Linked DNA regions of Mus musculus. The protein of the gene in region 1 interacts with the protein of each later gene in a pairwise test. Links are inferred from orthologs where the notes say so. Each region holds a gene or a part of one and is shown in the gene's direction. Other genes may lie near its edges.

Evidence for each region.
Region 2: the proteins of Emd (region 1) and Abt1 interact in binary tests that used the Homo sapiens proteins (3 or more experiments, as listed by UniProt). The two-hybrid records come from large-scale screens. The link is inferred for Mus musculus from reciprocal best matches to the Homo sapiens genes EMD and ABT1.
Region 3: the proteins of Emd (region 1) and Meox2 interact in binary tests that used the Homo sapiens proteins (3 or more experiments, as listed by UniProt). The two-hybrid records come from large-scale screens. The link is inferred for Mus musculus from reciprocal best matches to the Homo sapiens genes EMD and MEOX2.
Region 4: the proteins of Emd (region 1) and Kash5 interact in binary tests that used the Homo sapiens proteins (3 or more experiments, as listed by UniProt). The two-hybrid records come from large-scale screens. The link is inferred for Mus musculus from reciprocal best matches to the Homo sapiens genes EMD and KASH5.
Region 5: the proteins of Emd (region 1) and Traf3ip3 interact in binary tests that used the Homo sapiens proteins (3 or more experiments, as listed by UniProt). The two-hybrid records come from large-scale screens. The link is inferred for Mus musculus from reciprocal best matches to the Homo sapiens genes EMD and TRAF3IP3.

The regions. Positions count from the first base shown.
Region 1 is NC_000086.7:74,252,890-74,257,647, forward strand, and holds the start of Emd (emerin), read left to right. Parts: upstream 1-1,797; 5' UTR 1,798-2,062; coding exon 2,063-2,144; intron 2,145-2,318; coding exon 2,319-2,426; intron 2,427-2,563; coding exon 2,564-2,641; intron 2,642-2,853; coding exon 2,854-2,987; intron 2,988-3,988; coding exon 3,989-4,035; intron 4,036-4,117; coding exon 4,118-4,448; 3' UTR 4,449-4,758. UniProt on the Homo sapiens protein: Stabilizes and promotes the formation of a nuclear actin cortical network. Stimulates actin polymerization in vitro by binding and stabilizing the pointed end of growing filaments. Inhibits beta-catenin activity by preventing its accumulation in the nucleus.
Region 2 is NC_000079.6:23,420,671-23,425,290, reverse strand, and holds the start of Abt1 (activator of basal transcription 1), read left to right. Parts: upstream 1-1,424; 5' UTR 1,425-1,458; coding exon 1,459-1,705; intron 1,706-2,608; coding exon 2,609-2,808; intron 2,809-2,955; coding exon 2,956-3,318; 3' UTR 3,319-4,620.
Region 3 is NC_000078.6:37,176,840-37,180,133, forward strand, and holds the end of Meox2 (homeobox protein MOX-2), read left to right. Parts: intron 1-1,313; coding exon 1,314-1,538; 3' UTR 1,539-2,695; downstream 2,696-3,294. UniProt on the Homo sapiens protein: Mesodermal transcription factor that plays a key role in somitogenesis and somitogenesis and limb muscle differentiation. Required during limb development for normal appendicular muscle formation and for the normal regulation of myogenic genes.
Region 4 is NC_000073.6:45,194,589-45,198,634, reverse strand, and holds part of Kash5 (protein KASH5), read left to right. Parts: intron 1-2,023; coding exon 2,024-2,128; intron 2,129-2,480; coding exon 2,481-2,667; intron 2,668-3,041; coding exon 3,042-3,106; intron 3,107-4,046. UniProt on the Homo sapiens protein: As a component of the LINC (LInker of Nucleoskeleton and Cytoskeleton) complex, involved in the connection between the nuclear lamina and the cytoskeleton.
Region 5 is NC_000067.6:193,198,316-193,202,905, reverse strand, and holds the start of Traf3ip3 (TRAF3-interacting JNK-activating modulator), read left to right. Parts: upstream 1-1,359; 5' UTR 1,360-1,611; intron 1,612-1,907; 5' UTR 1,908-2,013; intron 2,014-4,590. UniProt on the Homo sapiens protein: Adapter protein that plays essential roles in both innate and adaptive immunity. Plays a crucial role in the regulation of thymocyte development.

The DNA.
Region 1 (4,758 bases):
CTAGGCCATCTTTTGATACATATGCAGCTAGAGTCAAGAGCTCCGGGGTACTGGTTAGTTCATAATGTTGTTCCACCTATAGGGTTGCAGATCCCTTTAGCTCCTTGGATACTTTCTCTAGCTCCTCCATTGGGAGCCCTGTGATCCATCCAATAGCTGACTGTGAGCATCCACTTATGTGTTTGTTAGGCCCCGGCCTAGTCTCACAAGAGACAGCTATATCAGGTTACTTTCAGCAAATGCTTGCTAGTGTATGCAATGGCAACTCTTCTTCATTAAGCACTTTGTATGTGGTCAAAACTGGGGTCCACCTCCTCACCATTGCCTACTTTAAACTTCCATAGAGAAGTGGCCTGTGAACTTCACTAAAGTGTCATCAGGTCAACCTAGAACTGAGCAAAGTACTCACTATCACTATCACTTAAGACAACCTGTGGGTTACAACCCCTCTGGCAAACCTTGTCTCCAAAAATATTTACATTATGACTCATAAAGTAGCAAAAATTACCATTATAAAGTAGCAACAAAAATATTTTGTGATTGGGAATCACCACAACAGCATTAGGAAGGTTGAGAAGCACTGATTTAAGAGATCAGGCATCCTACACACTTTTTCTACGCGTACCCCTTCTTCTAGATCTCTCCAATAAAGGGCAGCCTACCTAGATCCACATGACTTTGTGTAGAATATAATGGTCATGGTCACTCTTCAAGGCAACCTTTCTCTGATCCAGATCCTTAGTAAGCCTCCATCAATTCCCATGGTTTGCCTCTAGGCCAGCAGTTCAGAACCTCTGGGGTCGCTATCCCTTTGGATCTCACATATCAGATATCCTGCATAACAAATATTTATATTTTAATTTATAGCAATATTGAAATTACATTTATGAAGTACAACACAATAATTTTATGGGTGGGGAGTCACCACAACATGAGGAACTGTATTAAAGGATTGCAGCATTAAGGAGGTTGAGAAATAGTGCTCTAGGCTTTGTACACTTGTCTAGGTCTCTAAGGTCACACCAAGCTTAGAGACTATTCTACTCAGCCAGAGAAGACCTCTCCCCCCAGAATTCCTCAGGGCCCAAGGTAGAACAGTGAGTATGGCAGGTACAAGGTGTACAGATCTACATGCATCACAGGGCAGGCAGGCAGGCAGGCAGGCAGGCGCCCTCTGATTGTGTGCATTGGCATACCCTGGACCTTTGGAAAGCTGCTTGATCCTGTAGTGCTGGTGGCCACTTGGCCCAGTGCTGGCCCCATTTCCTCGCGAATGGAACTAGGCATTAGAGAAGACGACGGTGGGAATGGGCCTGTGCAGGTGTGCAGGCCAGGGTCATGGAGACTGGGAAGACCAAAGGAGATGGGTAGGGAGTGCCAGGGCTCTGTGGGTGTCTATGTTAGGTGATGAGAGCCCTGTCTGACAGCATACAAAGAGCTCTCAGCAGCGTTAGGCGCTCTGGAAGGGTTCGCTCTCAGGATTGCTTTACACTGCTGTGGATCACACTGTGGCTGAGAATCCTAGGCACTGGAACACCGGGGGAATAAAATCAGGAATGAAGCCAGTAACAAAAGTATGTGAGATCTCACAGGTTGGGAAATCTCACAAGCCGGTTTTGGTCAAATCACTTGCCTCATCCCTAGTAAGTTGCGCTCTAAAGCATCCTCTAGTGAGGTCAGCCAGCTCCGCCCCTCGGCGGCCTAGCTCTCAAAGGAAGTCTCAACCGCTGCCGCACGAGTTCTGAAAGCTCCGCCTTCTCCCTGTTCGAGCCAATCTCTCACAAGCGTTACGTTTCTGTTTGCCAGCCCAGCCTGTTCCCTCAGCTAGACCGGTCTGCACCGGCCGTTCTGGCTAGTTTGGGCCTGCCCTGAGGAGCGCGCGCAACCTGCGTAGCCGCGGCTGTGACGCAAATGTGACGGCGGCGTGACGCGCCCACAGCCGCTCTTGAGGCTCTGGCGCTTCTTCTTCTAGGCTCCGAGCGGTTGGTTTCTTGGGCCCTGTCTGTAGGCCCCGGCCGCCCCTGGCGTTCAACACCGCTTCCAGGTGCCGGCCTTGTCTGCCATGGACGACTATGCGGTTTTGTCCGATACTGAGCTGGCCGCAGTGCTACGCCAGTACAACATCCCTCATGGGCCTATTGTGGGTATGCTGCACCCGGTGGCGCTCAGAACCTCTCTTGGTCCACTGCTTTCCCGCGCTCCTCCCTGAGCGTTCTCCCCACCTCTCCCTCCCCTCAAGTCCCCTCCCCGTGTTCCCTTGTGCTCTTGGGGTGCTCGGCTCACGCCCTCTGACCGCTTCGCACCCTGTGTCTGGGCAGGTTCCACTCGCAAGCTCTACGAAAAGAAAATCTTCGAGTACGAGACCCAGAGAAGGAGACTCTTACCCCCCAACTCGTCATCTTCTTCATTCTCCTATCAGTTCTCAGGTGAGCCCTTAACTGCAGAGCCCCAAAGAGCAGCTTGGGGCACACGTCTTAGGGAGGGAGGGTGTGGCCGAAGCTATTGAGGGAGTAGGGGGAAGGCTGGAGATCGAATGGTCCTGTCCCTCCTCCTTCACATGCAGACTTGGATTCAGCCGCCGTGGACTCAGACATGTATGATCTGCCCAAAAAAGAAGACGCCTTACTTTACCAGAGCAAGGGTAAGGCAGGTATAGGGTGGGCACTGATGTTTTTATCCCATGCTTCCGGGATTTGGGCACAGGGAAACCCCAGACCTCCCTCACCTCCTTGTACCAGTTCTCAGTGGCTTCAGAGGGGAGAAACTGACACAGCACACACAGGCTGGGGAGGGAGAAGAGGAGGCCAGTTAAGGGGCACCACTTTTTCCTCTACCACTGTTTTCCTCCCCAAGACTATAATGATGACTACTATGAGGAGAGTTATTTGACCACCAAGACATACGGGGAGCCTGAGTCTGTGGGCATGTCCAAGAGCTTCCGCCAGCCGGGGACCTCACTTGTAGATGCTGATACCTTCCATCACCAGGTGAGTTGGCTGGTAGGTATACCTGGGGTGCAGCCTTAGGGAATTCTAGGTTTGGATAGGTGCAGAGAGTGGATCTTAGGCTTTCAAATCTGGTTAGGGTCAGCATACAGCTGTCGGGTTAAAAATTCTATGTTGGAACCTTCAAAACTATTGGATTTGGGGATGCTCAGCAGAAGAGTATTTACCTATGGTTTCATCTCCAGCAGCACATAACAAATGTTTTGGGGTTTTGGCTTTTTTAAAAGATTTAATTACTTTAATTATACATATGTGTGGCCAATTTTTGTTAGTTTGTGGGTATTTCCCCCCCCCCACTTCACCCCCAGTAATGAAAAATTCCCAGAATTCCAAATATCACACAATTGTAGAAACTATCTGAAACTCACAGAAACACACCTTTGCTAAAAGCATGAGGCAACTCATAGTTAGCTGCTGTGAAGCAGCCCCATATTCCACACCTAAGATTAAAACAAAAACATATTCTTACAATATTTCTGTGTTTCTTAAAAAAGCCAAAATTCCAGAATTCTCACATACATGTCTGTGGGTAGTATGCATGAGTGCTGGCACCTACAGAGGTGAGAATTGTCATATTCCCACTAGAGCTAGAGCTACAGGTAGTTGTAAACTGCCTGATGTGTGTGCTGGAAATTGACCTCAGGTACCTAGGAAGAATAATATGTGCTCTTAACCAGTGAACCACCTCTTCAGCCCACAAACTTTTTTGATCAGAGAATATGTAACAGCTCCTGCACTCTAGTAATTAATCTACGATATAGATTTAAGCCTCCTGAGAATCCAGGGGAATAAAAGGATGCTGGAACAAAGTCAACAGGGTTAGTAACTGAGCAGCAAGGCCCCACAGATAAAGAGGCTCCACATACTCAGAATGGGGGAGGGGGGGGCAATTTTCTGGTCCCTATGATATGATTAGAGCAGGCTAGCCAGAGACATTTAAGGAAAACCATTCTTCCCCATTTCTAATCCTAATTATTCTGCAGGTGCGTGATGACATTTTCTCTTCTTTAGAAGAGGAAGGCAAGGATAGGTGAGTAGTGAACATATGTAGGGACAGGGACAAATTCGAGTCTCAGACTCTCCTGCCTACCTGTTGCCTTCTTTTGCCACAGGGAGCGCCTCATCTATGGCCAAGACAGTGCCTACCAGAGCATCGCACACTACCGCCCCATTTCCAATGTCTCCAGGAGCTCTCTGGGCTTATCATATTATCCTACATCCTCCACCTCTTCTGTGTCCTCCTCTTCATCTTCTCCCTCTTCATGGCTTACCCGACGTGCCATTCGGCCAGAGAAGCAGGCCCCTGCTGCTGCTCTGGGCCAGGATCGACAGGTCCCACTCTGGGGCCAGCTGTTACTCTTCCTGGTCTTTGCTGCCTTTCTGCTCTTTGTTTACTATTCCATACAAGCTGAAGAAGGCAACCCCTTCTGGATGGATCCCTAAGGGTATTGGTTTTAGAGCAGCTCTTACCAGGAGTTTTGGCTGATTGCCTTATCGGTGTTTGCTGGGGGTGGGGAGGGTAGGGGCTTTTTTGTGTGTTCTAGTTGGGTGCAAGGTCTAGCCTAAGGCAATGCTTGTCTCCCACCTCATCCTGCCAAGGAAGCAGCAAATGTTGGCCTTCTACAGCCCAGTAGGCCTACCTGTACCTTCCTCTGGAGCCTCCTAGCCCTATTGCCTCTGACCCTTAGGGTACCGGGGTCTGGTGGGAGGACCTCACTTCATTAGAGGAAAACTTGGTGGTGGCAGTGGTAGT
Region 2 (4,620 bases), on another chromosome or scaffold:
AAGAGCTGAGGATTACAGGATTGCCCCGACTTCCAGTTTACTTGGCATTTATTTGGCATTTAATGTGTACAAATATTTCATTAACAATAATTTCAAGCACGTGCAAAGTACAGAAAGCCACTTAGCCACCACACTCTTGTGTCTTCTTTACATGTGCCCCTCCCCCAGTTCTCAATGTTTTGAAGTAACTATAAGACGCTCTCAAGTGTCATCATTGTTGGTGAAGTAGTCAGTTAAAAGTTAAAAGTAGGGGTCTTTTCTCTCCATATTCACTTTTCATAAAAGGAGCAGAGGTAACCAACAGCAAGTTCTCTTCAATGCAAGTCCCCAAAGTCAGGTTTAGTTATTAGGTCCTCAGAAGCACCTCAGCTTTACAAATAACGCCCAGAGTCTGTGGACACAGTTGCCCTGTCTTCTATATGTCATCGTGATGATGAAGGATAAAATATTATGTAGGGCCTTGACGAGGGACAACTTGAGTCCTCAGGATCATCCTGCTCTCCGTCCGTCCGTTAAGCAGGAGGGGAGGTTAGTACATCATTTCTAGCAGAGGCATCATCGCTCGAGCGTCATCAGCTGCTGTGGCCCGCCTCTGCGTTGGCCCTGGCGTGTAGGTCCCAAAAGCGAGGCGGCCTGCTGATGTGCGGACCGCGCCCCCTGGCGGCTGGTCCGAGGCTGAGACCTGCAACCCGGACCTTTCGCTCATCAACTTGCACAGATTCGAACACAATAGTACTCAGCTTTTTACTCAAACAGTTACAGATTTAAGTATTCACAAGGTGAAATGTAAAATTACTAAAGGCGCGTTTAAAATTTTAAAACCGCAACTCCAATTAAAATCCCAAAAGAATGCGTGCAAATTTATAAGCTGCTTCAAAAACTTTAATTTTAAAATGTTAAAACTTCATATAATTCAAATAATAAAATAAAAATTCAAATAATATGTTGAAACTTCAAATAATTAAAACTTCAAGGCTCAGACTGAAGTTTACAAGTTGAACTTCATAAAACTTTTTAAAATGTGTGTTAACCTTTCAACCACATTCGCACCACAGACCTGGAAGAAAATGCTGTTTTGGTCTCTACAACACACTCTTTCAACACTCTGTTCTGTAAAAATCCCACGAGAGGCACCAGGGTACGCTCTTGATGCATGGAGGCAAAAATCATTCATGCACATTTGTAAAAAAAATAAAAATATTCCGTGAGAGCTTGCCTCAGATGAGGGCTGCGCGCGACGGAAGTATTTTACCGGGACCCAGGTCCTGCGGCTCCCAACCCTTCTCCTCAGTCCAGTCTGTTGGCCTCGCCCCTCCCGCCCCGCCCAGTCTGTCTCTGCCCCGCCCCTCCGCACCCAGGATTTACGTCATTTCTTGGCCCCGACCGCAGATTGGCTCGCAGGATGTGCGTCATCAGATGGCGACAGATTCACGGCTGTCGTGCTCCCCAGATCTTGCCATGGTGAAAGCGGGAGAGTTGGTGGAGCAGCAAAAGGCTGCGATGGAGGAAGAGGCGAATGCAGAGGCGGCGGAGGATCAGGAGGAGCCCGAGGACACGGCCTGCAGCAGCAGCAGCAAGAAGAAGAAGAAGGTAGTTCCGGGGATTGTGTACCTGGGCCACGTCCCGCCGCGATTCCGGCCCCTTCACGTACGCAACCTGCTCAGCGCCTACGGCGAGGTGGGACGCGTTTTCTTCCAGGCCGAGGGTAAGCCCTGCGTCGAAAGGAGAGGTGACGATGCGGGCAGCCGGGCGCGACTCATTTTCTTGGCTGTACACGAATGAGGCGTGGGGTGCTGGCTCTTGGAAGGCTGTGGCCCCTTCCTAGCTGCTAAGTGTGTAGTACTCACGTCCTTTAGGTGGCAGGCAGGGGCGGGGAAGGGAAATGGAGAGGGTGAGTGGATAGAGAGAGTGGTTTAATAAGGCCTGAAAGAGACCCACGATCTTCTCTTCTTTCTATTTCTTAAAATTTTATTTACTTACTACTTTTTGTAGCTGTCTTCAGACACACCAGAAGAGGGCATCAGATCCCATTACAGATGGTTGTGAGCCACCATGTGGTTGTTGGGAATTGAACTCAGGACCTCTGAAAGAGCAGTCAGTACTCTTAACCACTGAGCCATCTCTCCAGCCCTCTCAATTTTCAAATAGTCCCTGAAACTGTATGATTAGCCTCCTTCAGCCTCTTCACCTTTGTTTGTTTGTTTGTTTGTTTGTTTTTCGAGACAGGGTTTCTTTGTAGCTCTGGCTGTCCTGGAACTCACTCTGTAGACCAGGCTGGCCTCGAACTCAGAGATCCGCCTGCTGCTGCCTCCCAAGTGCTGGGATTAAAGGCGTGCACTACCATGCCTGGCTCTCTTCCACCTCTTGACATGCACAACTTGGAAATGGAGGTGGGGACTGGTGTTGTTCTTGGTGCTGTTCTAATGTTCAAGAAGTTGTCATTTGAAGGGAGGCATGAATTAAGGAAAGGAGGAGCTGCCCCTTACAGACAGCCGTGTTTCATCAATCCCTGTAAAGTAGCGCCTAAACCAGCAGGTGTGGCTTACGGCTAAACTGAGGTGTGTCTCAGTGGGTGCTTGATGGGATGTTCATTGTGTTTGGCCTACAGACCACTTTGTGAAACGCAAGAAGAAGGCAGCCGCGGCCGCAGGAGGAAAGAAGGGAGCTAAGTACAGCAAGGACTATACCGAAGGCTGGGTGGAGTTCCGAGACAAGCGTGTAGCCAAGCGAGTGGCAGCCAGTCTACATAACACGCCCATGGGCGCCCGCAAGCGCAGCCCCTTCCGTTATGACCTGTGGAACCTCAAGGTGAGGTTCTCAGTTTGTCTGCCACATCTTCATTCCCCCCTCCAGCTCTAGTCCAGGCACCCCATCCTTCCTGCTAGCTCTGAGCAGCTCCCAGTTTCTTCTCCCGACCTTCCCTACCGTGACCTTTTCTTCTTTTCCTTCTCACAGTATTTGCATCGTTTTACTTGGTCCCACCTCAGTGAACACCTTGCCTTTGAGCGCCAAGTACGAAGGCAACGCCTGAGAGCAGAGGTCGCCCAAGCAAAGAGAGAGACTGACTTCTATCTTCGAAACGTAGAACAGGGACAACACTTCCTTGCAGCTGATGGGGATGCTACTCGGCCAAATAGCTCCTGGACATTCACCCAGCGTCCCACTGAGCAGGAGTTTAGGGCCCGGAAAGCTGCACGGCCAGGAGGGCGGGAAAGAGCACGGCTGGCTAATGTCGAGGACCAGGCCCGATCCAACAGAGGGCTCCTTGCCAAGATCTTTGGAGCCCCTCTACCTGCAGAGAGCAAGGAAAAACCGTAGTCAATAAGGGACTCCTGGTGATGGAAGAAATACCTACCAGCCCTGCGCCATTCTGATCTGCTTCCTGAAGAGTGTGACCATCTAGGCAGATGTTTTCTCTATTCCACACACCAAGAGTCTGGTAAAGGCCTTTTGTTGGTGTCTTTTACCTACTTTGAACAAATCCTGTAAGTGCCAGCCTGAGAACCTTACTCGTCCTATCCAGGGTGAAGACCACTGGAGGTGCCTGTTGTGTTTTGTTTGATTTCTGATTGCCTGCCTCTTTCTCAGTGGACAGCTAACAGTTTCTGACTGAAAGAGTGGACTTGCCCTCCACTAGGGTAGTGGTCTGTGGTGTTTGTTCACTGTGGTGGAAGGCTGAATTAGCAGGAATTGGATTAGAGGTCCAATTTGAGGCTTATATTTGAAAATAAAAAATAATTTATTTTTATATGCTTTTTAGTTTTTCATTAAGTAAGTTTCAACTTCTTTTGAAGCCATACATGCCGCTCAGTTACTTTAGCACAGGCATGATTCTCCTCCACCCATGAATCTCAGTTACTCTATCAGATATGATCCCAATGCTCCTGTGTTAGTCAGGGTTCTGTAGAGTCACAGAACTTATGGGTAGTCTCTGTATAGTAATGGAATTTGTTGATGGTTTACCGACTGTAGTCTTAACTCCCAACAGTGGTCAGGAGCACCTGTGAATGGAAGTGCAAGGGTCTAGCAGTTGCTCAGTCCCACAAGACAAGCAGGTGAAGGAGGGTCTTCCTTCTTCCAATGTCATTATGTAGGTCTCCTTAGAAGATGTGGCCCAGGTTAAAGGTGTGTGCCGCCATTCCTGGATCTGGGACTTGCTTTGTCCCACATGACCTTGAACTCAGAGATCTCCTTTCTACGGAGGAAGTAGTCCAATGTAGTAAACCTGACACCAGGTTTCTGGCTGATCACCTCAAAGAATCTGGGGCTCAGTGTTAGTTTCTGCTATTGGCAGATCTGGCATTCAGCGGCAGCCGTAGCCAGGTCAGCCTTGGTGAGTGGAAGTCCCTGTTGTTGAGCCCGAGCATAACCTCCATCTCCGTCACCATAGCCACTTTGTTCATGTGCCCATTGAGCAATGACAGGGATGGCTGGGGAAAGAGGCTGACTGTCCACAGAACGGGTCATCTAATCCACTTGATTATTGAACTCCTCCTTGGCTGAAGTCACCTTTTGGTGAGTGTTTAAATGGGACACAAATATCTTCACATCCTTTGCCCACTTGGAAATATCTATCCACATACTTCTTCCCCAGATGTCTTTCTCACCAATTTTCAATTG
Region 3 (3,294 bases), on another chromosome or scaffold:
AAACAGTGTAATATTCAAACATCTCTGGAAGGAGAACACTCTTCTCACCGTTTCTCTGGAGCACTGTGTGTTGGTATAAATTGAGACTGATAAATGTTCAAATGTCTGTGATACAGAAGAGTTAGGCATTTTTCTATCAGATATGAAAAAAAATTTTTGTCACAGGTATAGGAGTTTGTTGAAGGCTTAACAGCATGAATTATAACCCAGGGGAATGATGGCTGTGGGATATGAGTAGACTATTTTAGAAAGTGGGTGAGAGTAGCTTGCAAAAAATGTATAAAATTTAAAAAGAAATAGTGTAAAGAATTGAATGCAAACCAGGAAGGAAAAATACCAAACAAAAGAAGCCAAGTGATCATAAACATGGCGATGCTTTTATGTTAGCTGAGGTTTTTTAAAAATCTCAAAATAAGGACATAGTAAGTAGTCCTAGTATTAAAAAAAAAGTGCTGACAAATCTAGATCTTGTGAAATAAGTTAATCAATATGAATTCATGAATTTTTTTTTACTGAGGTGGATTGTCACATTCTCTTGAGTCCTTTGAGGAAGTTTCTGGGTATTCACCCGGGCAGGGGCGGGGGATGCAAGGTAAATACTGAGGAATTTTTACTGTGGCTGCATTCTTTGGCAACAGTTCAATGATATTTCTGAAGTAAACGTTAATAAAGGCAAGAGCAGAAAGAAGACCAGTAAAGACAGACTTCCTGTAGAGTATCAGGAAACCAACTGTGCTAGGTCCTGCAGACAGTCCCCAGTTTAGCCGTGGTGGGCTGGAGACTCTTCTTCACGATAGTTTTATTGGGACACCATTCCATATAAATCAGGAGCATCTGGTCCTTTACTGAGGTGAATTATGCCCCCCATGCCCCCCGCCGATCTGAAAGGATGTGCTGAGAGATAATTCATGCCTTTCCAAGTTAAGGGACTTTCGTAGTAAATAGTGCGCTTTCAGAGGTGGATTTACCAGCAGATAAACCTGTAAAAATTCTACTGTCAAGTCAAAGATGAATTTCAGAGAATGTGTAAACTTTGATAGAGGTAAACATAATATTTTATTTGATCGATGAGAAACTCCACTCCAATGCTTCCGAGCAAACTTCCTCGCCTATTTGTAACTTTGTGTTATGTGTTGGAATTTACGATAATTCTTTGAATGTACTAAGCCTTTTCCATTACTACGCACATGCAATCTAACTCACTGCAATCCTGCCTGTTTTTTCTAATTGCTGCATCATGGTGTATGTGCGCAGGCACTTGAGCAACTAGGTCCTATTGCCTTTGCTGACTTACTTATTCCCTCTCTTTGAAGGTGAAAGTGTGGTTCCAGAACAGGAGAATGAAGTGGAAGCGGGTCAAAGGGGGACAGCAAGGAGCTGCTGCCCGAGAAAAGGAACTGGTGAATGTGAAAAAGGGAACGCTTCTTCCGTCAGAGCTGTCAGGAATCGGTGCAGCCACCCTCCAGCAGACAGGGGACTCACTAGCAAACGAGGACAGCCGCGATAGTGACCACAGCTCTGAGCACGCACACTTATGATACCTACAAAGACCAGCTCCATTCTCAGGAAAGCACCATTGTGATGGCAAACCTTACCGAACATCGTTTACATGGCAGATGTCTGTGGCAGTGTGGCTTAGTATAATTAAATGCAGGCATCTCGAGTCTGTGTCTCATGATGGATAGACGGTTTACACTAAGTGCCTTTTATTGAAGATGCTTCCACAGTGAAATTGGAGAAAGCGAACGTATTCCAAATACACTTGTTCCTATATATGACAGAGAGGGAGATGGATGTTTGCTTTGGCTTGCACTGAAAATTAAATTTGCTACCAAGAGCAAACTTGATAAGACGTTTTTACTCAAGATGTCTCCAGAGTGAAGATGTTAAAAATAAAAAATGCTTTGAACATTCCAGTTGTGCCAGGTCATGTGTGTGACACTAGGCAGGTATTTGCTTTTGCTTGCACTGAAAATTAAACTGCTATCAAGTTAATCCATGAAATAGTTTATCTTGAACAGCCACAGTGCCTGAAATCACCAAGTGGATATAAAATGTACTGAAACTCTGTATATATTACCCCTAAGTCATTTTTCCTGTCTTCACTAATTTTAGCAAATGCATTCATATTAGCTGATTAAAAATAGGCTTTTCCATTGACAAACACAGCCAGCTTCTTGTATTTTTATACATTTGTGTCAGACAGAGAAAATCAGTATGTGCTTACTTGTGTTCAAGTAGATAAAATGCAGTAGAGTCTGATAGGACATATCCTTGTACCACAGACAAAGCAAATCTTCTGTTGCATTGACTATCAACTGCTGCAGATACATTAGAGAACATACCTAGCTCCCCTCCAGCCTTCTTCTCTTATATCTTGAAAGACATTAGGATCATAGGCAAATCAGTTACCTTGCAGAACGAGTCTTGTGCGGCAAATGTCTGATTTTACATCTTTAAGTTGTTAATGTTTATGGGTCTGATTCAATTAACAGGGAAAAGCTTTCTTCCTCCTTGTTTATGATATAAAACCAAGTGCCAAACAAAGCTAATTCTTCAAGAGAATAGTTGAGAAACTGAATGTCTGACAATTAGACTCTGAAAGTGCATTATTTTTCATATGCTCTATATTCATGCAGAACAAGTTCTTGTATTTTGTAAAAAAAAAAAGATAAATAAATGATCCTTGAAATAATTATTGTCTCGCCACTGTGACTTCATTGGGTTTGGTAGATTTATTCTTTTATTTGGGATCAAGGCTGGTCTAGATGTCATTAGGTGACTCAGCTTGGCACTGACCTCTCAGCAATCTCTTGTCTCAGTCATCCAGGTGCCAGAATCATAGACTGGATCAACCATGTCTAGTTAATTTTAGTAGATTTGAAAAAAATAGATGCTTAAAAAGATTCCAAATTGTTTGCTTCTGTGTAAATCTAAATGGATATGAGTTATGAAATAAGATTCATAATTTCTGGTTTTTATTATGGCATAAAATTTGTAAGAATAGGCATATATATACTGAGCAATGTTAGGTAAATGAAATGGAAACATATTACAGGAGCTATAGGTAATGCATGGGCATTAGCCCAACACTTTTAGTTTATACTTATCTAACTTTTCAGTACTTAGTGAGAAACCCAAAAACTCACTCGCGGTAGATATATGCCCTACCATTGAACTCCCTGACCAGTCTGCAAATAGATGCTTCACGTTCATGATCTCTAGCTTTGGTGTGAAATATGAGATGAACAAACGTAAAAAGAACCCCACTTCTAACAGACATTGTTGATAGAA
Region 4 (4,046 bases), on another chromosome or scaffold:
ACCAGGAATTAGGACCATGGCCAGGTCAGCTTCTGAGATTGCAGACTGAAAAGGAAGAACACACCCACAGGGGAAAGCCGAGGCTGAAAGACAGGGATGGCAAAGAAGAGAGAAGGCGCTTGGGACAGAGTATCAAGATTAAGATAGAGTACAGGGTGGGGGGAGAAAAGGGACTGAAGGACACAGGACAGAGGCTGAACATGTGAGAGAGGTTGGGGAAAAATGAGAACAATGGTCCAGAAAGAGCAGGGTGGTGGTCATGCACGCCTTTAACCACAGCACATAGAGGCAGAGGCAGGTGAATCTCTAAATTCAAGGCCAGCCTGGTCTACGGGGTGAGTTCCAGGACAGCCAGGATGCCAGGACTACACGGAGAAACCCTGTCTTGAAAATCCCCCCCCCCAAAAAAAAAAAAAAAAAGGAGAGAGAGAAAGGGGGGGGGGGACGGAACAGTGTCTTCCTTCAGGACCTCAGGAAGGGACTATGCACCATTGGCCTTTCTGGGCCACAGCACAGAGTCCTCCTCTGTAACACGGGACGGTGGAGAGCAGTAGGCCAGCTGAAGTCTTCTACCTCCCCAAACTAACCTGCCCTACTGCCCTCCCATGGGAGCCAGAAGAGTCCAGGTCAAACTGGGGTACAGCATCCTGGAAGTGTCAGGGTGAGAGAAGAGACTCTGTGCTGGAAGGTGCCTGTGACCGCTTGTGCTGCCCGTCTGCCTCAGACTCCTCGTGTAGGGATAGGAGCTGCTGCGGTGCTGACGCTCCATGAGTGCCTGTAGTTACAGACCACGCAGAGGCCCACCCACATGCATCCATTTCTTCCCCAAAAGGGAGGGGGGCTTTCTCAGAGGATACTGCTGACACTCAGAGGGGGTGGGGGGCAGGACAGGGGTCTCTAGTGCCAGCTCAGACTCTAACCCTGCAGCCATGTGCAATGGGCACTCATCTCAGCAGGCCAGGCTGTCAGAGGTATGAAAGCCACCTCCAGCTTGGAGAAGCTCTGTTTATTGAGTGCCTGCTGTATTCATGTGATGTGAATATAGCTAGCTGCAGGCCAACAGACCCTGGAAAACAGGAACATAGGCAGGCACACAGTGGGTCTGAGCCAGGTGAGAGCTGCCCTACCAATACACACAGGCCACACACACATATGAACACACACATGTAAACACATAAACACTCCACATTTGCATAGACACATGTGCACATACATTGACACACATGCATACACATATTGCACATACACACCCAAACATCACACACTCACTCCGACACTCACACCCACACACACATGCCTGCACTCACATCTTTACATATGCAGAAGGAACAACCCTCTCACCCTCCTGAGGGGGGTTTTACTGACACAGAAACAGACCTCCCAAAGAAGAGGCTTGCCACAGACATGCTGCAGAGCTGCTGAGTCAGGGGAGTCTGGCAGGAAACTCAGCTCCTAACCAGTCCCCTGCCACCCCCTGCTTCCACAGCCCCATCCCTCCTCTTTATCTTGGTGTTGGCCCTGAGTCCTCCAGCTCTGATGACGCCATGCTGAGGATGTGGAGAGGAGAGACTTGGTCCCTGGGGCAACTGGGAGAAGGGCTGCAGCGGGTGGGATCGATGGAGGCTGCCCACGCCTTATTGGATTGTTCCTGGCTCCTCGGCCACCTTCATCCTGCCTCCCCCTTGCTTTCCTCAAGCCTGGTCCCCCCTGCCCATAGCCCGGGAGACTGGAGGAGGGCAGGGCTGAGGGTCATCTCAGAGCTCATTAATGGCTTCCAGAGTCCATTGGCTAACCAAGCCTTAGGCAGACAGTAGGGGCATCTCCTAGCCTAAGAGATGGGACTGCTTGAGAGCAGTGACTCAAAATCCTCCCTGTTGCCACCTCCCTGGAAGCCTCCCGCTGTCCTTTACCAGTCCCCACCACAGAGCTTTCAATGAAAGTCCCCCAGACTCAGCAGAGCCCAGGCATTAGGATCATGCTCCTGGTGTCTCCGCATTGAGAGGGGACCCCCTTTTCTCTACAGTGTACCTCTGGGAACAGCCCGAGGAAGCGAGTTCAAGGCCACTGCTCAGCCTAGAGGAACAGATCCTTAACTCCACATTTGAAGCCTGTGACCCTCACAAGACAGGTGGGGGCTGGGGATCCACAGGAAGGGCTGGACCCGGGCTGCCCTGCTTAGGGGTCCTTCAGGAGTAGGGTAAGGGCATGGATCAGGGGATGAGTAGCGGGGCTTGGGCCCCAGGTACATAGTTAGCCTCTGGCCTGGTTACAGCAGTGGCTGCTGCCCTGGCTCATGCTCTTTGGTCCACTCTGAGATGGACTGGAAAACTTAACTCAGGAGAGGGACTTGCCCCAGGTGGCTCTGCATGCTGTAGGGCAGGCGTGTCATCAACCTGCTGATGACAGACACTGTTCTTAAACCGTGGCCTGTCCCACTGGCCATTGCCCAGTCCAGGTCTCCCTACCATGCTCTGTCCCAGGCACTGTGACTGTGGCCCACCTCCTGGCCTACCTGGAGGCTGTGACAGGACAGGGACCTCAGGATGTGCGCCTCCAAACACTGGCCCGGAGCTTGGACCCTTATGGAGAGGGTGCTGGAGCCACTGTGGAACTGGACACCTTTCTGGTGGTCATGCGGGACTGGATTGCTGCCTGTCAGCTGCAGGGGTGAGTCCCTACACCAGCAGCCTCCTACCTAGGAAGACTTTCCTCACGTCTGCTCTGCAGTCAATACTAGTTAGGCCCAGGAACCCCGTGTGGTTGGCTTGGGACTAAGGAGAGGCATCTAAAAGGACACGGAGGGGTGAAGGGGTCTGAGAACCAGCTGCCTTGGGTGATGGTGCAGGGGTCCAAGTAGAAGGAGCAGGGCGACCATAGGAAGGGCTGCCCTTCACAGCCCAGGCCCTGCCATCTGGCTTCACCCTTACCCATAGAGCCTCTCTCCCTACAGCCCTCCTCTCCTCCATCACCCCACACCTCTGTAGGCACAGGTCATGGCTGTGGTGACCACAGGGGACCTGAGCCTCTTGCCTTTGATACAGGGGATTAGAGCGGGCAGAGGAGACCGCCTACGAGGGAGCCCTGGCTTCTCCACACCTGCCATCTGGTGAGACTATTTATAGAAGGCGCTGGGTGGCAGGGGTCAGCGGGGGTTAGCAGGGACTTCTCATCTACTCGCTCCACACAGCAAGGGCTAAAGAGATCTGGGGCCTTTGCTCAGCCTGCAGCTGTGGTGGCTTTCTGGTGCCTTTGGGACAGTCCCACTCTGGACTTCAGGCTCAGGTTTTCCAACCCTTCCTCCCATCTCCAGCCCTAATGTAGAGCCTGAGGGGACTGCAGCCTCCACGGTATCTAGCTGAGGCCTGGGGCACCCACACTATGAAATCTTCACTTGGCACAGGGCAGTCTTGGCTCCCCATCCTGCCCCACCACACACACCTCGTACACCTGCTTCCCTTCCCTTGAGAGCAGACATCTGTCCCAGCTGTATCCCAGCCCTATACTGGGGTGCTGAGTGCAGGAACTCACACCTCAGAGGTGTATGGCTAAAACGTGGCTTTACAGAACCCAGACTGTAGCTCTCTTGGCATTCTTTTTTTGTTTGTTGGTTGGTTTGGTTTCAGAGGGTTGTTTGTTTGTTTGTATTTGTTTTGTTATTGTTTCTTTGAGACAGGGTCTCTCTCTATAACTCTGGCTTTCCTGGAACTTACTATGTAAACTAGGGCTAGCCTTGAACTCACAGAGATCACCCTGCCTCTGCCTCACTACTGCTGGGATTAAAGACTTGCAAGACTTGAATCTTGAGGCTTCTGTTTTGGGGGGCAGGGAGGGCTGTGAGCAGCAGAGGGGTAGGTCACGTAGACAAGTCGGAGGGTGAGGCTGGAGAGTGCCCAGGGAGAGACTAAGGGAGTGGTAGAGCAGAGAGTCCAACAGATGGCAGGCTGCTAGTGCGGAGGCCTGAGGAGGGAAGCTGGGGCCAGGAGAGGAGTGGCTTGGGAAGTGGAGGTATCTATCTAGCCCTCCTGACTGGCTCAGAGACCTGGCTG
Region 5 (4,590 bases), on another chromosome or scaffold:
ATAGATAGATAGATAGATACCACTAGTAGACTAATAAAAGTACCTGGAGCTTTATTCTAGAATAAATTACTTGGGCTGGTAATGCACTCATGTATTCATGCACCCATGCACTCATGCACTCATGTACCCATGTACTCATGAACCCATGCTATGTGACTTTGAACTTGCATTAACATTAGTCCCAGTAGCATGAGTATAGCACCCAAAGAGTACCCAGCCATAGATAAGAATTTGATCTCTGTATACATTTCTATATAGTTTTTAATAAAGTCCAAAAGGATCTATGGCAATTCTGATACAATCTCCTGTCTCCCTGTGTTCTCGGGTATTTCTCACCCTAGGAGCCTCCTTGGTCTGGGTTCTAGTATAAGAATCTGGCCTGCGTGCTTCCTTCCTGCCTACTTCTTGACTTTTTCTCTTAAGAGAATGAGGAAATAGCAGTCATGAAGAGGACTGTGATAAGTTCTCCATGTTAACAAAACTTATCCTAGCTACTTGAATATATCATTATCTGCCTCACACCTGCTTCATACCTGTCTCACACCTGCCTCACACCTGTCTCACACCTGCCTCACACATTTCGAACTGTATAGTCTCCATACTGAGTGGCTTGTTCAGAAGGTTGCAGAGCAGTCCTTGAACTTGTACAAACTCAGTTTCCTGTTTATCTATCCTGAGTTGCTCTGGGATTTCCCATTTGTAAGTTTCTTTTTAATGTATCAGTTCTCTTTAATTTTTCCCAAAATTTCTTAGTTCAATTCACTGGGATTTTTCAGATTCTTTTGGCTACCTGCCTTCTGCCCTCTAGCCCTCCATATTTCACCCCTCCACACTGCCTCATAAAGACATGAATCCAGGATGCCCTCAAGGATCTGGAACTCCACAAAACACACAGATCCTTCAGACCACAGGAGACTCTACCCAATGCCAGTATTGGGAAAAAGAGACTCCAAACAGCTAGATGGTATGAGAAACATCCCTCCTGGGTCTTACCACAGAAGTGGCAAGGTATAGATATGGCCCAGAATTCATCCCTGTGTAGTCCTAGAAAAACATTTTTTTTTAAACAGGGTTTCATGTAGCTCAGGCTAGCCTTGAACTCAATATGGATGATCTTGACCTCCTGGTCCTCCTGCCTCTACTTCCTGAATGCCGGGGTTTCAGGTCTGGCTTTTAATGCTGGGGGTGGAGTCTAGGGCTTTGTGCTTGCTAGGCAAGTAAGCACTCTACCTACCGAGCTACAGCACCAACCAGAGGAAGTGAATACTGGGCTGAAACTGCCAGAGAGCAGACCAATCAGGTAGTTGGAGAGTGGGTGCCTGGGTGGACTTCCTCACCAGCCCTGGAGGCCCCAAGAGTGCAGGGGCCCTCTCAAATTGCTAAGGGCAAGGAGAGGAACTGAGGTTTGTGAACACTGTGGCTTGTGTTTCCTGTTTCAGCATGCTGCTGTGCGAAAATAACGTCAGTATAAGAAGAAAATGGTGAGGGGGTTTAGAAACTTCTTCAGAAACTCGGCTTGACAGCTTCCCCAGCCTTCTGAGACCAGAGAGACCTAGAAAGAAAGGGCTGAAGGCTCTCCTGAGACACTTGAGACAGAACCTGGGACTTGAGGTAACTGTGGAGGAAGATGCTTTGGGATCTTGGTTTGGATCTGCTGACTTAGGGTGGGGCAGAATACGCTCTGCCATGCCAGCCTCCTGCGTAGCAGCAGGTGGTAGAATGTACTCGATGGGGCTTGTATGACAAAAAAACATCCTGTGCTAGAGACCTCAGGCAACCACAGGGTATGGCTCCCAGCTCTGCTCCGTCTGATGGCTTCGGTTAGGTGTGAGTTGCATGGCTTGGTGTTGGTGTGCTCTGCATCCATAACACAAATTAAATGACTTTTCCCAATCCCTTCAATGTAGGGATCCCTGTAACAGGCTCTTCAGCTCCCGCTGAGAACTCTGAACTAAGAAGGCCAGATTCGTGTAGGAAGCCACCCATCATCTCCTCTGCATACACAGCCAGGAGGTAGGTGCAAAACTGTGGCAAGTCAACATGTCTGTAGTTGAGGGGCAGTGTGCTGCTGTCTTCCTGTGCAGGAAGGAGAGCCTTCCCTAGCCAGTACTAGCCCTTCCTCCGAGCTCTAACTAGGCCCTTTCATGTTGGCCAGGGGTACCTCAGAAACTACAGAAATCCTGGGCAGTGGCCTTGTGACCTTTTTCTGAACTACAGGACCAGTTCCTTTTTTTCTATAGCCTGTCCCTGTCCATCAGACTTTCCATAGCCTACTTGCGTTAAAGCAAGCCAGGATGATCCCACCATCCTAGAAGGCTGTGTGGTTCCATACAGGTGTCACGCCACACCCCAGGAGGTGTAGAAGGCTATGGGTTTGGAGACACTCCTCTCTCTAGGGAGCCATTCCTATTGCAACTTCCTAAGCATTAAGACCTAATGATGCAGAGAGTAAAATAGCCATATTTCAGTGGCCCTACAGACAATAGATGGAGAACAGGAAGAGACATCCTCACAGACCTGTTCTCAACCCCTCAGACCTTTCTTCTTCCCGTCTGGAAGGTAGGGAACCTGGGAGCTCCCTCTGGTAAGTCCCACAGTGGGGAGCCTAAGCCCTCACACTTATAATGGCATCTCCTTTCTTCACCTACCTGTTCTTTGACTTCCTGTCTGACCTAATTGAGTTGATGATTACATCCAGACCACACAGAAGTGTTTTGTCCTTGTAACCCAAACTCAGAGACTACAGGAACCACAGTAAAATTATTCCAAGATGGAGCTACAAGCCCTGTTCAGAACTGAGAGTGGGAGTAGGGGAGTCAGAGGGCAAAATTGATCATTCTCTGTCCTACAGTCTGGCGTTCCCTGGGGCATTTGATTCACAGCACCAAGTTTTCAGTATTCAGCGCCAGCCATGATAACTACAATATTTTTATATCTATTATTTTTAAAAGGCTGTCGCTTATCATATGCCATGTGGTAGGTATATGGTGTGGGTGTTGGGTGTTGTCTTTTAAGGTTCATGCCCCTTCAAGGGAAGTTTTAGCCCCATCTTATAAATAAGAACACTGAGGCTTAGCAACCCCCCCCCCCCCACACACACACACATACCTGTTTGGTGGGTATTGACAACCTAGAAGTGAGTCACAGTCTGGCCCCAAAGCAAGGGTTCCCCTCCTTCAGTGAAGACAGAATAATCGGGTGCTGTGGCTTGAAGATGCACATGTATGTAATTCCAAGTCTCCTCTATATATTCATTTATGACAAAACACAAGTAGGCTTTTTGGCTCATTTTCTACATAATTCAATAAACAGGGTGACATGTGGCAGATCTAGGGAGCCCCACAGAGGGAGAGTGGGAAGAAGCCTGAGAGAAAGGCAAACAACACCTCAGTCCTTGGGGAAAGCTCTGCCCAAGGCAGAGAGTGTCCCTCCAGTCCTCTAGAGTCAGATAATTAAAAGTATACAGGACTTAGTCACACAAGAGCCCTCCAGAGAGTGAGATTGCCCAGCAACAGCCATGTGAATGAGTACTGTGACCAGAGGGAGAATAGGAAGCCTGCACAGGACTCGGTCTTGTGCTAGGATAGGCATCAAAGTCCCAACAAAGAAACACAGGGACCTCTCTTCCTGCAGAGTCTGTGCAGCCTATAAACATGAGGGGTCAGTGTTTGCAAAACCATGGAGGAACTGAATTCCTGGGCAGTGGGATAATCAGGTCATAGAGAAGAGGCAGCGGCTGTGACGAGGACCTTCCTCCATCACCACAGTCTGACCCCAGAGGGTATAGGAGGCAGGGTACAATCTCTGATGGCGGGGTGTAGTTCATCTGAGTCCAGCCCTGGTTCCACCAGGCTACCAGAGCCCAAAATAAGTCTAGCCAAATCCATAGCTGATGGGTGAAGATGAGGGTTTGGGGCACTATATGGATGCCAGGCAAGGCCACCTAGAGGGGCATCAAGGGTGACCTGTCCTGAAAACTGTTCCTTGAGGACTTCCCACTATATAGGTTTCTCTTGTCTTGTTTCTTATGATTTTTAGGATTCCTGTTGAAGGCACCCCACATGCTTGATAGATGGAAGATTTGGGGACCAGACTGAGTCTGGCAGGGAGGTGATCCTAAGAGAATAGAATCTCCCCCTCTGAGTCCCTGAACCAGATTCTCTGAAATGAACCATCAAGCATTTTTAAGGTCCTCAACTAACAGACTGACTTGATCAGCAGCTGAGAGTCAGAGCCCAGCACTAGATACACAGTAGATGACAAAGAGGAAAGTTGGGAGTGCTGATGAAGGAATTAGAGCAGGTTTCCCTAGGTCATGGCAGTCCAGAGCCACAAGATGGCTGCTGAGAGCTAGGAGTGAAACAGAGAGTGCCAGTCACAAACCTGGTCACTTCCTGAGGGGTTGTGGCTATCCTTCTAGGTCTCAAGAAGTGTCACTTAGCAAGAGATAGTAAAGATGACATCATCTTTCCTTTTTAGACTGGGAGATAAAGTGGGCAGGGCTGTCCACAGTTCTACAAGCCACCCACATGGCTGCAGGCTCATTATGGCTACTGTCAGTTCTTCGTGTTTCCTCGCTTAGAGACATCT